Astyanax mexicanus: one gene and its partner. The protein of the gene in region 1 interacts with the protein of each later gene in a biochemical or structural test. Links are inferred from orthologs where the notes say so. Each region holds a gene or a part of one and is shown in the gene's direction. Other genes may lie near its edges.

Region 1 (7,265 bases):
GAGAAGGCCCAGCAACATTGTACATGATAACCCCTTTCCACAGCAATCATTTAATTTTAGACAGGGTTTAACATTTAAATTTCATTTCATCGAAAAATACGTAAAAAAAAAAAAAAAAAAAAAAAAAATTAAGCTAGAATAAGGGATTTGTTTTGGAAAACAATTTCTTTTAATATTATATATCCCAGTAGCATAATAATAAATCAGATGATCTCACTATAAAAAAGAAAATAAATATTTTAAAATACATAAATGAAAGTATAAATACTGGGCCAGTCATTTGGAATGACTGAAGCTTTGAAACTAAGTGAATTCATTAAATGGTCTCCTACCAGCCTGTTTAACTGAGCTAGATATACCAGAACAGCGGACAAAGAAAAGACAAGGACGACTTCCTCGCTTCTGCAAAGTCACCTACTTAAATATTACACAGTCTGTATTTTAATGAGTTTTGCATCAGTTATAATTTATTGAGTTTTCATCCTAATATTGTTTCTACTGCCAGTGTTATGAGCACTTCCTTGTTTGGCCTACAGGGGCCCTAAGCTCTAAACTATACCATACATTGAATAACCTTGATTATTCTTGATAATCAAAATTAAGTATCTACAATACCAAATTACAAAGTAATCGTAGTGCTAGTTTAAAAAAATCACTCCTGTGTTCATTATGTGCCACATTAAATATTAGTTGTATAAAATGTAAGCGAATATTAAGCTCAACTAAGGAAGCTGGAGCAGATGTTTTCGTTGCAGTGGCACAGACATTCAACATTTCATAATGAATTAATGAAGGCATGTTAAGTCAAATGGCTTTCAGAAATGCTTCAAAATGGTCTACAAAAATGAATACAAATAATAAAAATTAGGTTTTTATTTCTTTCTTTCCTATAAAAATGCCACTTTAGAGGTAGTGACAGTAAGATGTTATGGTACTGTCCTCTGTTCAGAATTGAACGGAATAAATTGTGGGTATTGTATATTTCAGGCCAAGATTTTTGAGCAAGATGACCTGGCTTTGCCACGTGTGGCTGCATATTTCTATCTGGAGTCCACAAGAGAGCAGGAGCAGGCGGAAGCCATGCTACACTACCTGTCCGAGCGTGGAGGACAATACTGCAGCAAAGATATCCAGGTAAACCTTGCTGTCTATGCCCAGCATATCATGTGCTGTAGTGTTACTGTGAAATATGGTGAATAAAGATGTTTCTTGTCTTCTTTATAAAATAATAGTAGAATGCCCCTTTTCAGGTTTTGATTCTTCACTTTTTATCACTTTTTCGGTCTCACTGTTAGGAAACAAAAGTTTTCACAGATCTGCAGGATTATTTTACTGCCCACAGTTACTGCCAACATTGTATCCTCATCATATTACCTCTGTACCTTTAAAAATATTTTTTGGAGGGGCTCTTGACTGGATAGGCCAGCAGTTTAGGAGGAAAAGGGGTCAGAGAGAGAGAGGAGGATAAACCCCTGTGGGCTTTGCAGGGATCTCTTCTCTAATGCCTGTCAGGGTATACGTTTTCCCTGAGTTCCGGAAAATTGGGGAGATTAATGTGAAAGCGGAAGGACAGTGCATTAATTGTAGTTCCAGATGTACACTATGGCACTGGCTCTGCTGCCACTTCAGCCTGGGTCCTCTCTTTTTTTCCAACCTCCTCCTCTTCCCTAGTTTTATGACTCATGTAAAATTGATCCGGAGTGAGGCTGGTGAGGGTCCATCAGCAGCAATTTGGAACACCTTGTTATCCGCTGATGCATGGAGAGACGAAGGCGTGAGTGAGTTTAAATGGAGCTGGTTGAGTTGCTTGATTGTGAAATTGTATGCATATAAAAAAATATATATTATTATTTTAGCCATACAGATATTTTTAATAAGTACATGCAATAGATTTAAATTGATAGTAAAAATGGTACAAATAGTATAAAAACACTATCATTTATAAAGTCTGAGATAAAGAAAAGTTTTATATTTGAATGCAATCAAGACAGTGGGATCTAAAATCAGAGATTGTGGATAGGGTTTAAACACAACATGAACCACTGACTGTCTCCAATCTTTACATAGAAACCAGTGATTAAAAATCAATACTGTTTTTTTAAGCGATACAGTATTGCTTGTCTATACATTCGCTGTTAGTTTTAAAATTAGTAGAACTACACATCTGAGCAGTTTGTGTGTGTGTGTGTGTGTGTGTGTGTGTGTGTGTGTGTGTGTGTGTGTGTGTGTGTGTGTGTGTGTGTGTGTGTGTGTGTGCTATGCAGAGACCAGGGACAGAGCAGGTGTGTGCGCTGCTCCCTGCCCTGGAACTCCTGCTGGGCCAGTGGAAGGAGGAGATGGCCATCATGGTGGAGCTGTCTCAGCTAGCACGTGAACATGGAGACCCCCACTCTGCCAGTGTCCTCAAGAGCCACTTCCTCCAGCCTCTCGCACCAAAGATCAAGCTGCTAGGTGACCTCTTGACCAATGCTCGAAGACTGGGCTGCACCAGTGATGGTGCTGGAGGATATGGAGAGTACCTCATTGACCAGCTCTATGAGGAGCTGGCCAGTGCCTAAATGTCCTGTAAAGCCCCTTGTTGATGCATTAATGGCCTGACTAGCAGTTATTTCCTATCAATACTTTCTGCACTGTTAGATCCCGTGCTCAGCCTGCATGGAGTGTGTTCTGTTTGTGGCATGAAAGAGATGATTTGTGGGTTTCTTGAATGGCGTGTTCTTGAAGCTTGGTATTACCTTTCCCCACAGCTGAAAAGTACTGAGCAAGTGGAAAATAATGTGAATTTCCCATATTGTCAAAAGAAGTGCTAAAAACACGGGAGAGATTATTAAAAATGAATGACTAAGAGAAATTTTGACAAGTTTGATATGTTTTTTAGTGACTATGAATGTGTTTTTGTAAAAACAAAAAGCCTGTAGAGTGGAACAAAACTTGCTGTTTTACATTAAGAAGTGCCCTATATGAAAAAAAATTATGCAGTATTTTATAGACAGAATTTGATTCATTGTTATATTTTTTGACTGACACTGATTAAATGTTTTGGTCTGGATTGTGTATTGGAGGTTTAGATTTTTAATCTCACACTCCACCTATTTTTTTAGAAGTATTTTTAATCATTTCTGTTGCTTTTAAAGCGTGTTTTGTGATGGGTTCTGCGTGTTTGTATTGTGTTTGTATGTGTGGAAGACAAGAGTTTCCTTCTTTGCACTGTTACTTTTCTTTGTGTTCATGTGTGTGTTTTATGTAGGATTTAAGCCATAAACCAATAAAATCTATTGAAACTGTTAAATTAAAGTCTCAAGTATGATTTAATAGTGGGGCAACAGTTTCTTAAACACCAGAGAGATAACTCTGTTAAGATTATTCCTTGTTAAAAAGGAGCTGTGAAAGCTGTGATTTTGTCACTTGTAAATGGGATTATAACCCAGGCCTCTCTCCCGGTGGCTCACTGGCTCATTACTGCCATCTGTTGGTGGACCCATGGCACTGTTGGCTTCTATTTCTGAGACAAACTAAATACAGTAGGCTAGTACATGTTATAAGTAGCCTATGAACCGAATGAACTCCTAAAATGAATTTCCCCTGTCAGAATTTTTTGATTTATTCATGTATTCTTTTCTTAGAGGTCTGACTAAAATAACTTTGTCTGTACTAATTAGACTTCTCAGCAAATATTAATCAGAGAAAAAAAGAAAGAAAGCTAAGATAGAATAGATATTCCAGTAGTGTAGATGATCTGTACTTATAGCAGACACTACAGTCAAAATATTTAACCTTGCTTTACGTGCCCACTTTTTGTAGCTGTGTAATGTATCGAATGTAATGTAATACTAAAGGATTTGCTGCTTCAGAGTCTCAGGGGTTGTTTGGAAGTGTGTGTTCCGGAATTAGAAAATAAAAACAGAATTAAATGGGTGGTGGAGTTTCAGTATTAGAATGATATATTAAAGCCAACTCAGTTTAAAACATTTTAGTATATATTAACTTATGTACTACATATAAATATAGACCATTTCACTGCATATATTGTGCGCTTCCATGCGCTTACATTATGTGTTTCTTAGAAGTCAGACTTACTAAGAAACACACACAGCATATTTTGGTTGCTTACAGGATTTGCTATGTAAAAAATATTATGAAAAAGTTTAATTTCTTTTCTTATTCATATTAATTCAAGTAAACCATAGACTAAATTTCAATCTCCAGGTATGTTTTAAGATTCTCAGCATTATTTTTCAGTCTTCCAATTCTTAAATTCTGAGTTTTTCAAATCTGACAAATTTTTCACTCTAACCTTTATTGTTGTCTTTAGTGTTCGTCCGGCACAAACGACCCCTTCCAGCCCCCCATCGCCTCGGCCAGGGCGTTTATTGGCCTGCGGTTCAGGCCAAGGCCACTCCCCACCCAGCTGCCGGCCCATATAAACTGGCCTTTTCGCCTCCTCAGCAACAAGTAGCTGCAGGCTGCACTGGGACAGGAGTTGGTGGAGCCCTACCTGCAACACTCACTCATTCCCTCTCTCTTGTCTTTCACTCACTGCAGACATTAAGAGTGTGTGTTTAAACAGGACAGAAACCTGACAGAAAGTGTCTGAGCGCATTGGAGGCTCTCTGGAGTGTTGGCTCAACTCCTACCTTATTTTACACACTTAAAAAAAGTTTCATCACTTTGGTTTTTTGGGGGGTCAGAAAAAAGAGAGATGGAGCTGTCGGATATCCCGTTCCCCATCCCGTCCGCGGACGACTTCTACGACGACCCGTGCTTCAACACCAACGACATGCATTTCTTCGAGGACCTTGACCCACGGCTCGTGCACGTGAGTCTGCTCAAACCGGACGAGCACGGCCACGCGGAGGACGAGCACGTGCGCGCGCCCAGTGGCCACCACCAGGCGGGCAGGTGTCTCCTGTGGGCGTGCAAGGCTTGCAAGAGGAAGACGACGAACGCGGACCGGCGGAAGGCCGCCACCATGCGGGAGAGGAGGCGCCTGAGCAAAGTGAACGACGCCTTCGAGACGCTGAAGCGATGCACGTCGGCCAACCCCAACCAGAGGCTGCCAAAGGTGGAGATCCTGAGAAACGCCATCAGCTACATCGAGTCCCTGCAAGCTCTGCTGCGCAGCCAGGAGGACTCCTACTACCCGGTCCTGGATCAGTACAGCGGGGACTCGGACGCGTCCAGCCCCAGGTCCAACTGCTCCGACGGCATGGTGAGGAATCTGAGATCTCTAAAGACTTTTACTGTCAGGAGCTGTCACTTTGATCAACTAAACCAGACTCTAGTGTCAACTCTTTTTTAGTTACTCTTTTGTTACTTTATATTACAATAATAATATTATTTAGACTATATTGCCTATAACTCTAAAATATTTTGTTTTGTTGATTCCATTTAATTGATGTATTTATATTTTCTTTCAGATGGATTTCAACGGCCTATCATGTCCATCTAGAAGAAGAAACAGCTATGACAGTTCCTACTTCAACGAGAGTCAAAACGGTAAGATACCACCCCAAATAAATAATCAAGCATGAAACGTCACGAGACATTTTATAATAATATATTCAAGTGAATCAACAACTACAAAAAATAACATCTGATTCTTTCTCATTTCTCCAGTAGATGTGCGGAGCAGTAAATCCACAGTAGTGTCCAGTCTGGACTGTCTCTCCAGCATCGTGGAGCGAATTTCCACGGAAGCGCCCGCATGTCAGCCGCTCGCGACGCACGAGCCGTCGGACTGCAGCAGCACCAGCAGCCCGCGTTCTCCGCACGATGCGCCCGCGCTCAGCGAGACGGTACCGAGCACTCCCTCCCCCGGGAACGCCGTGTACCAAGTCCTGTAGAACACACACACAGACATGCACACACTCATACATACATACACACACGCGCGCGCGGTGTACAGGAGCCTTCAGGACTGTGCTGTTCCTGTGCGGGAGAACAGAAGTGGGAGAACATAAATTTTTACCTTTATCCTTTCTTTCGTTCTCTTTTCTCACACTATCTTCATTTTAATTCATTTAGTCTTTCCTGGATCTTTATTTTTATTTTATTTTTTCTTTCCTTTATTTTCCTGGTTTCTTTTTCCTTTATTTCTTCCTTCCAAACTTTTCTTTCTTCGTTCTTTCCTGTATTTCCACACTTTTCTTTTTATTTATTGTCCTTCTGTTTTTAGTCCGATCTTTTTTCAGATGATATTCATTTAGGTTTTTCTTTCATTCTCTTCACTCTTTCTTTGTACTTTTATACATTCTTTCTTCATTATTGTATTTGTATTTATTTCTTGTTGTTCGGACTTTTTCTTTCTTTCTTTCTTTCTTTCTTTCTTTTTCTTGTCCTTTACTATTTTGTATCTTTTTATTCTATCTTTTTTCTGTAGAAAATATAAAATTCCATGGTATCGATGGCTCTGCCGAAGTCAGTTTCTTAAAACCTTTTATTTATATGATTGTCAGCTGCAATATTGTGACCATATCTTCCCTTGTTGAACCTCTTCTTTCTGTCTCCTTCATCTTTTACGATTTCCTGATTGTTCATGTGAGAAAACACTTCATCTATGAGAAGTAGAGGACCAGTTTTGTATATGTGTATATAAGAGCTGTTTTGTTAAAAGGAGAAGTGATCAAACTTTGTATTTAATGCTGCCTGTGTGAGGAGTTTGTTGTGTCCGACGTTTATATTTATACTTCTTCAGTGAGTGAATGTGGATTAATAAAGAAATACTTATTTATACACACACCTGCTCTCGTCTGATCTTTTTTTTAAAGGCTCTCATCTGTTTTTAACAATTTAATCATAACATATATATTTCAAAGAGCATTTACTTTAAATATTAATTTAAATTGTATTTTATTTTTATAAGCACAACTAAATGTCGCTTTAACTTAGTCAGTTTATTTGTTCGTCTTCATATATCTTTTTTTCTTATATTTAAATTAACTCCAAAACGTTCGAATAGTTTGACTAACATAAAATATTTGCCATTTAAAAAAAATGTTTTGTATTGCCGATTGTTATACCCAGCGTGTCATAAATAATTATATAAACAACGCATAACTATGCGTATATGCATAACCTAATGACAAATTAGTTCATTTCTAAACGAACTACTAAACGCAGCAGTATGATCCCACAGATTTACTAAATTATTTTTCAAATAAGTCTTCTTTTTATTTAACAAATTAAGTTAATGAACATGCAGTCAGGTTAAATTAGTCACAGTTGAATTTCTGCTTGTTACTGTATAAATATAAATATTATTAAAT
Region 2 (7,324 bases), on another chromosome or scaffold:
TATATGAATATATTTGACTAACAATGAGACAATAAATACCAGAGTAATAAATAAAGTTATTTAGCTTTTGTAAAACGTGACCTAAAACAAGGTCACAAATGATTTAAAGAGTTGAAATAGAGCTACTATACATTACTCATCTTATGCGTTACTTCTCTTATGATCTTTAATGTGCCACACGGCGCTGAAGATGCAAAACTGTGGCAGAATTGTAATTGTGTAGGAAATATAGTCATATAAAAATAAAGTTTAGTTTAGTAAAAGTGAACTTCAGCAAAGATTTTAATATAAAATATAGGCTGGGGAGTTTCGATGGGATCATGAAGTGTTTAGAATCCTAAAAAAGGGGTCTCACAGTAAAGAAAGATTAACAACCTCTAATCTAAACAAAGACATCCTGCCCTGTGAAATACCCTCCAGGACTAAGTTTAATAAACAAGGCTTTAGAAGACAGGTTAGAAATGGTTGAAGTACCTGAGAAGAGCATTCTGTTTCGTCTGCCTTTATGTTGTCTGCACTTCTTTCCTTCTCACGGTTACGTATCTCGGGGCTAGCCGCACTGATCAGCATCTTTAGATTAGAAGTAGGGGTCCAGGGCTCCCCTGTAGGAGCGTCCGGGCCTTTAGTGGGCGTTGTTAGGGGACCCATTATTTTCAGATTTTCCAGAGGGGCAGATTTCCCCGAGGTTTTCCCGGGTGTCTGCGGTTCCACAAACACACCCGTTTTCTGTAAATAATGAAGCCAGAGTTCGGTTGTTAGTGCACAATAACAATAACGGAATTTTTAATGCAGACTGGCTGGTTTATACAATAAAAAGTAAGGGCAGGGCTGCATACTGTAGGCTAAAATGAAGATAACAATCAGATAACTAAACATTTAGCTCAATATTAAATAACTGCCTGAACTATTATCAAATAGAAATATATCTTTAATCAGGGGTTGATATTTCACAGTTATCCCATTATATAAAATAAACAGTCAGAACAATTCTGTTACTATAAATTAAAACTTGGTATGTTTAATGTTTCAAGTAAGTATGAAGGAGACTTTATTGCCATGTACATCACATGCGGAACATGGGGTGGAACAAAATTGCTTTCTCAAGGTCCGGTTTTCCCACAACAGAGCAGTTATTATGAAGAATATAATAAAATATAATAAAGAAAAGCAAATATGAAGTAAAGAATAAATTAGAAAAATAGTTTTTAAAAAGTGTGTACCATTATTACTTTTTTCCCATTTAATATAGTAAAGAACAAATGAGTTTTGACTAAATTGTATTTTTTTTTTCTTTTCTGGAATAATTTTCAGGAACAGTTAAATCATTTATTTTCTTTAGATTTTCTATTTTTTCCTCTTTTGCAGAATATTAACCTGATAATTATTACACTGACCCACGAATGATGGAGATGTTACATAAAAGTACACAATATTTATCTAAAGAGTGTGGATTTACAAAAGTGATGATTTTTGACTAAGGGAATGTTCTTTCCTTCCACAAACTCTGAATATAATTCTCTTCACACACAGTCACTATACACAGCCATTAGCAGCTCATCAGCTCATTTACTGACCTTCTCATTAGCTGCTGCTGATTTGTTGGGGCTCGTTTGGGGGAGCTGGGTTAAGTGCTGGCCGTTTAGTAAGGTGCTGGACATTTTCCACCTACGTGTGTTGAGAAAGAAGAATTGATCGTTAGGAAAAATACTAGTATTAATCACTTATAACTAACATATCAGTGCCATTATTAGCAAATCTGAGATTTTAAATAGAACAGGGAAGATAACTGTATGAGTTATCTAGGTTACAAACAAGAAATACCTTTTTTTTACAGCGTTATATAACCTGGGAGAAAGCATCGTGCACCCCTATGAGAACTGAATTAGTTCAGGTTTATTAAAATCTTATATAAAACTGTTTGTATTTTTCGTAAATCAAAGTTATTTTGATTTCAAATGACCGGGAGCCGACTGGCGCTAACTGACACCCGATCCGACGAATCACGCAGCAGCACTACGCGGATGCACACGCCCTTCCACTACAATCAGCCAATTGCTGACAGGGCACGGACACGTGAGCCCGCCCCCCGCGAAGAAGCCAGCCAATAGGTGCGCGACAAAGGGCGGGTTTTCGGACAGTCGCGCGCAGGCTCTCACCTTTTTAAAATCTTGGCGCGGAATTTCGCAATCGGAACGGAAGAAGATATTAGCGGCTAAAAACAGCATAAAACAACTAAACTAAAGCATATATTGGCGCAGATTAGATTGTACTGCTAATAAACTCGATATTTAACAAGAAATAAGCGCTTAAACTGTATTAATTTGTACAAAAACTAGTGGTTTGGAGCCTCGCAGAGCGCAGGACACCAGAAACACAGCAGCTCAAAACCAGGATAATAAATACCTGCAGATAAGTTCCGTACAGATCTAAAGTTACTTAACTAACTGCTGAGCTAGTCAACTAAAACTCTACTAAATATAACATAGCTTACGTAACTTACACTGCGGTATGTTTATTATTAACCAGGTATAAATATCGAAACGAACTGCTAGCGTTAACCTAGCTGAGTTTTTATTAAACACAGAGAGGCGGTAACTTTTATAATGTTAAAATAGCTTTAAAACGCTGGATCCTACAGCAACAGCCAGCAAGTTCACTGATAAACTAGTTATTACTGAGTAGTGAAGCTAGCTAACGCTATCTAGGTTAGCTAGTAAGTAGTTAACGTAGTTGTTTAACGTTACTCCGCAAATGTAATCTAACCCAGCTAGTTAGCTAGCTTTACGTAGTTAGGTTAAATAAAACTTTGTGTTCATTCTGTGTTACACAGATAGCTTAAATAGCCTTACTAGCTAACTAATTATAAGTTACTCCCTTCTGTAAAAGCATTCATAGGCTAGCTATGGGTGACTATAAAGCTCTTTAGTATGTTTTATATATAAACTAGCTCGCTAGCTTATTAGGTTAACATACCTGAGTCAGCAGTAGACTGTACAGGAGAAACGGTCCGACCAGAATGCAGGAAAGAAGGCAAATTAATCCATAAGAACGGCAGATAGATTCCACCTCTTGTAGATTTAGCTCAAATAATTTAGTGCAAGAATATCTCCGCAGATTCCACACAGGTAACTCAACCTACAGTATGTTAGATCAGTCCTCCAGCTGTGCTTCTCTGTACAGCGCTACAGTAAAGCTGGCTGTAAATAAATACGGATTTCTCCAGTTTTAGTGATTTTCCAGCGCGCTGAGGGTCCTGGTTCGGTTTTCCCGGGTATATGAAGGTCCTGGTTCGATTTTCCCGGGTATATGAAGGTCCTGGTTCGGTTTTCCCGGGTGTCTGTGTATATGTGCGCGCTCCTTTGCCCGCGTCCCGCTCTGAATTTGCCGGGCAGATCTGACCCGCCCATAACTCCGCCCACACCCCGCCCCCACACACGTACACGTACACCCAGAGGATAAAAGTACATATTTACTAAGTACATAAAGTTCTGAACAGGGTCGAGTGTTGTGTCCAGTTATGTCACATATCGATATGTGCTTCTTTTAATGCTTCCTCATGTTTTTAATGAATGTTAGTTATTATGCATACATTGTAAGTTAATTACATTTCTTTTTTGTGATATCAGTTACTTTGCACAATAATTTAACATTTCTTTGATAAAACAGGTTTATATTTACTCTACTATTATTTATTTTTTTATTGACCAAAATTATTGATTTGAAAATTAGCTGGAAAAAGACATTTCTACTAAATGAACAGCATTAAAGTTCAACACAGACAACACTGAGTTAGCAGCTCAGAACCTAATGCTGGTTTTAACAGCAGACAACTAGTAATACATACACATAATATATCATCTACACGTTTACATAAGGTAGCTTAGGGAATGGCTACACACAGCGTCAGAAACTGTGGTACACGCCCAGTTTGTATAAACATGGTGGCAGAACAGAAGTTGAATCAACTGAAGCTGCCACTGGCAACAGAATACATTCAGTTATTATAAAATAATTCAACTCATGTGAGTTATTGTGAATACATATGTGGCTGCGAATGTTTACCAAACTCAAAGTAGTTGAGCAATGTTTGTAAATATAAGTATGATATGACATAACACAGACTTACTTCATTTGAGCTCAAACAAACTGTGGGTTTATAGTGTAATAGTTAACTATATATCCTTTTAGGGTGTCGTCATTTTTTCTGTTTTCATAAAGTACAGTGCATCTTTAATCCAGTGTGTGGGAGCAGGAGCATTTTTCCCCCAATGCATCAAAATGAGCCACCTCGTTACACAAATTAAAATGCTACCAATGTGGATTTTTTTGTGTTTAGATAGAATGAAAGTAGCTGGAAGAACTCCTAACACTGTGAGGACTGGAGAGAGATCAATGTGCACTTGCAGTAAGTATAAAAGGGATATAAATATTGAGCTCTACCAGGATTTGTAATAAATAATTCCAGAACATATTAGAATGATATACAAATTGGGCGGGGCCTGATGGTATCTGTCACCATTGTAAATATTGAGATTTTTAATGTAATCTAAAGTAAAAATTGCTGTATGAGTAAAGGCTTCAGTACAGATGAGAGATATAACTGAGTATATTTTAGGAAGATGGCCTAATCTGTGTGTGTGTGTGTGTGTGTGTGTGTGTGTGCGTTCAGTGCTCTGAAAGATGAACATATATAAGAGAGGTCCCTGAGAGCCAGAGGCAGACAGAGAGCCAGGCCGAGCCTCTAGGGTGATTCTGGACCTCCTGTTCCGCTGGTCTGTAAGTACTGTAGTCACTGTTTGTGTAAATTTGACTGATTACTTTGATGTTTTAACAGTAAAGTTTATAAAATATAACATTAGTTGCTTAATTTCTCTCTTAGTTAGATTGTATTTGCCTATTTAGTACCATTGTATTTGGTACCTCTTTACACATGTATTCCTATTACTGTTTGTAGTCACTTTTTGATTGATTGACTGGAATTTTAAACAGATAAGAGTTATGTTTTAAATGTGAATAGCTTTAATTGCATTTACACTTAACTGTAATTAACCCTTTCAGACTCTGCATCCATTACAATCCATTACCCTCCATTTATGTTTTGTTGCACATAACACTATTTGAGAGCTGTTGTGCAACAGAATAGACCATGAACCAATAAAACAGTAAACCAATAAACCAATGAAATAGTAGCCTGGTAGTACTAGAGCCATTAAAGCAAAGTAGCTGCTAATTTAAATGGTTACTAATAATCATGTTTTATTTTTTACTGTTTAGGGATGGTTTATGAAACAAAATAGTTAATATGAAATACCAAATATTACACAATAGGATTTATTTGCTGTATAGATTTTATAGTAGAATATTAAATACTTATTTTCTGTGCACTACAGACAAAAACAGCATTCATACATTTTTACATCACTGGAGATAATTCAGGTCTGAAACCGTTCATATATTAAATAATACCAATAATATTATTGAATGTAATAATATGGATAGTTTAACTCTTAAGAGGTAAATTGTTCAATAGGTGATGATGACTGAAGCTCTAATCACCATCACACTCACTCAAACTCAGATATACTGAAACAGAGGCCAGATCTGTGAGTGTGTGTGTGTGTGTGTGTGTTTTTATCAGCAGTAGCTTCATTGAAGGAACTATTTCTGGATGATTATCAGCACATTCCACAGTGTTGAGGCAGAGAGCAGAAACTCTGACTCACAGTAACAACATAATATATATTTATATTTACAAGACAGCTAATGTCTTGTATTATATCAATCCATGAGTTAACAGTGGATTTCTGAGCTTTATTGATCCTGTCAGTACTGCATTCTAGGCAGGATATTTAATAAAAAATATTAGGTGAGCCATCAGTAATCTTTAGTAGAGTAGAAAAATGATAGATCATCATTTAACAGCAGTAAACAGGGATACGAATCGAGTGTGATTGCATTGATGATGGTAGAGTCTGACCACTGCACAAAGCAGCGCTTCTCCATCCAGCACATCCCAAAGATTCTCAATGAGGTTAAGATCTGGACTCTGTGGTGAACTCTCTCTCAATCCATGTGTGATAAATGATGATCTCCTGCTCCCTGAACCCTGAACTCTTTCACAATTCCAGCTGTATAAATCCTGATATTATCATCTTGGAATATGCTCGTGTTCATCAGGGAAGATAAAATCCATTGATGGAATAACCTGGTCTATATTCAGTATATTCAGGTAGAGTCAGCTGACCTCATTCTTTCAGCACATACTGTTACTGAACTCCAAATGGAGACTTTTTTTGGCCAGGCTCTGTTTTCATTTTACTGTTCTTGTGATGTTACCAAAAGGTTGTTGTAAATCAATTAGGATTAATTATCATAAATTAGGATTAATTCTCATTAAATGATAACGTTGTAGGTGTAGCTTATAGTTTATCATTATTTAAAACTGATTTAAAGTGATAAGATGAATAAATAAATACACTTCATTCATAATGTCTTACACCACATTTCACAAAGAAGTTCATGTAAATAAATCCTGCAGAGGATTATTTTTTTATGTTAATGCATACAGTGCTGTTATCTGAGGATGCTTTTATTTCTGTTCTGATTCCTGTAGATCTAGTCCCTGATCCGAGGATGCCGAACTGGGGCGGGGGTGCTAAGTGTGCAGCCTGTGAGAAAACCGTGTACCACGCTGAGGAAATCCAGTGTAATGGGCGGAGCTTCCACAAACCCTGCTTCATCTGCAGTGAGACACGAGTTCACCTTTTTATACAAGCTGTGATCCTACAAAATCCTGCATAGTCAGAGCTAGGAGTGGGAATCACAGGATATCTCAAGATACGATATTATCACAATACATTTCCCATCATAACGATGATATCACTATACTGTGTTTCTGTGATACTCAAATATTACACTTAAATATTACAGTACAATTCTCTACAATATTCCGTCTTACTGAATAAAATACTCCTACTGGATAAAATACTCCTAAATAATTAAATTCCAGGAATTATGGATTTATTGGTGTCAGTTTTTACAGAACTTGATAACGAATATGACACAATGCACAACAAAGTGCAGAGCTTAGCTTGCTCACATCTCTTTAACACACACACACACACAAACACACTCACACTGACCGCAACTGTTCCATGTCTAGGTATTGTTATTATTATTATTATTATTATTATTATTATTATTATTATTATTTAAACAAAAATACATTACTGCAAAAAAAACTCTTTATTTAAAACCAAAAATTATTAATACAAACTCTCACAGGATAAAGGAGAAAGAAGAGGAAGTCGGGCTGATGTGGAGA

Evidence for each region.
Region 2: the proteins of myod1 (region 1) and csrp3 form a complex in vitro, tested with the Homo sapiens proteins (2 studies listed by BioGRID and IntAct, with this or other methods). The link is inferred for Astyanax mexicanus from reciprocal best matches to the Homo sapiens genes MYOD1 and CSRP3.

Annotation. Positions count from the first base shown.
Region 1 is NC_064409.1:62,751,997-62,759,261, reverse strand, and holds myod1 (myoblast determination protein 1 homolog), read left to right. Parts: upstream 1-4,436; 5' UTR 4,437-4,699; coding exon 4,700-5,209; intron 5,210-5,417; coding exon 5,418-5,496; intron 5,497-5,616; coding exon 5,617-5,843; 3' UTR 5,844-6,738; downstream 6,739-7,265. Other genes in the region: zgc:172145 (ferritin light chain, oocyte isoform-like), read left to right, coding at 988-1,134, 2,265-2,558. UniProt on the Homo sapiens protein: Acts as a transcriptional activator that promotes transcription of muscle-specific target genes and plays a role in muscle differentiation. Together with MYF5 and MYOG, co-occupies muscle-specific gene promoter core region during myogenesis.
Region 2 is NC_064423.1:343,330-350,653, forward strand, and holds the start of csrp3 (cysteine and glycine-rich protein 3), read left to right. Parts: upstream 1-4,299; 5' UTR 4,300-4,405; intron 4,406-4,669; 5' UTR 4,670-4,776; intron 4,777-6,613; 5' UTR 6,614-6,633; coding exon 6,634-6,745; intron 6,746-7,324. Other genes in the region: transcription factor E2F8, read right to left, coding at 475-726, 1,575-1,658. UniProt on the Homo sapiens protein: Positive regulator of myogenesis. Acts as a cofactor for myogenic bHLH transcription factors such as MYOD1, and probably MYOG and MYF6.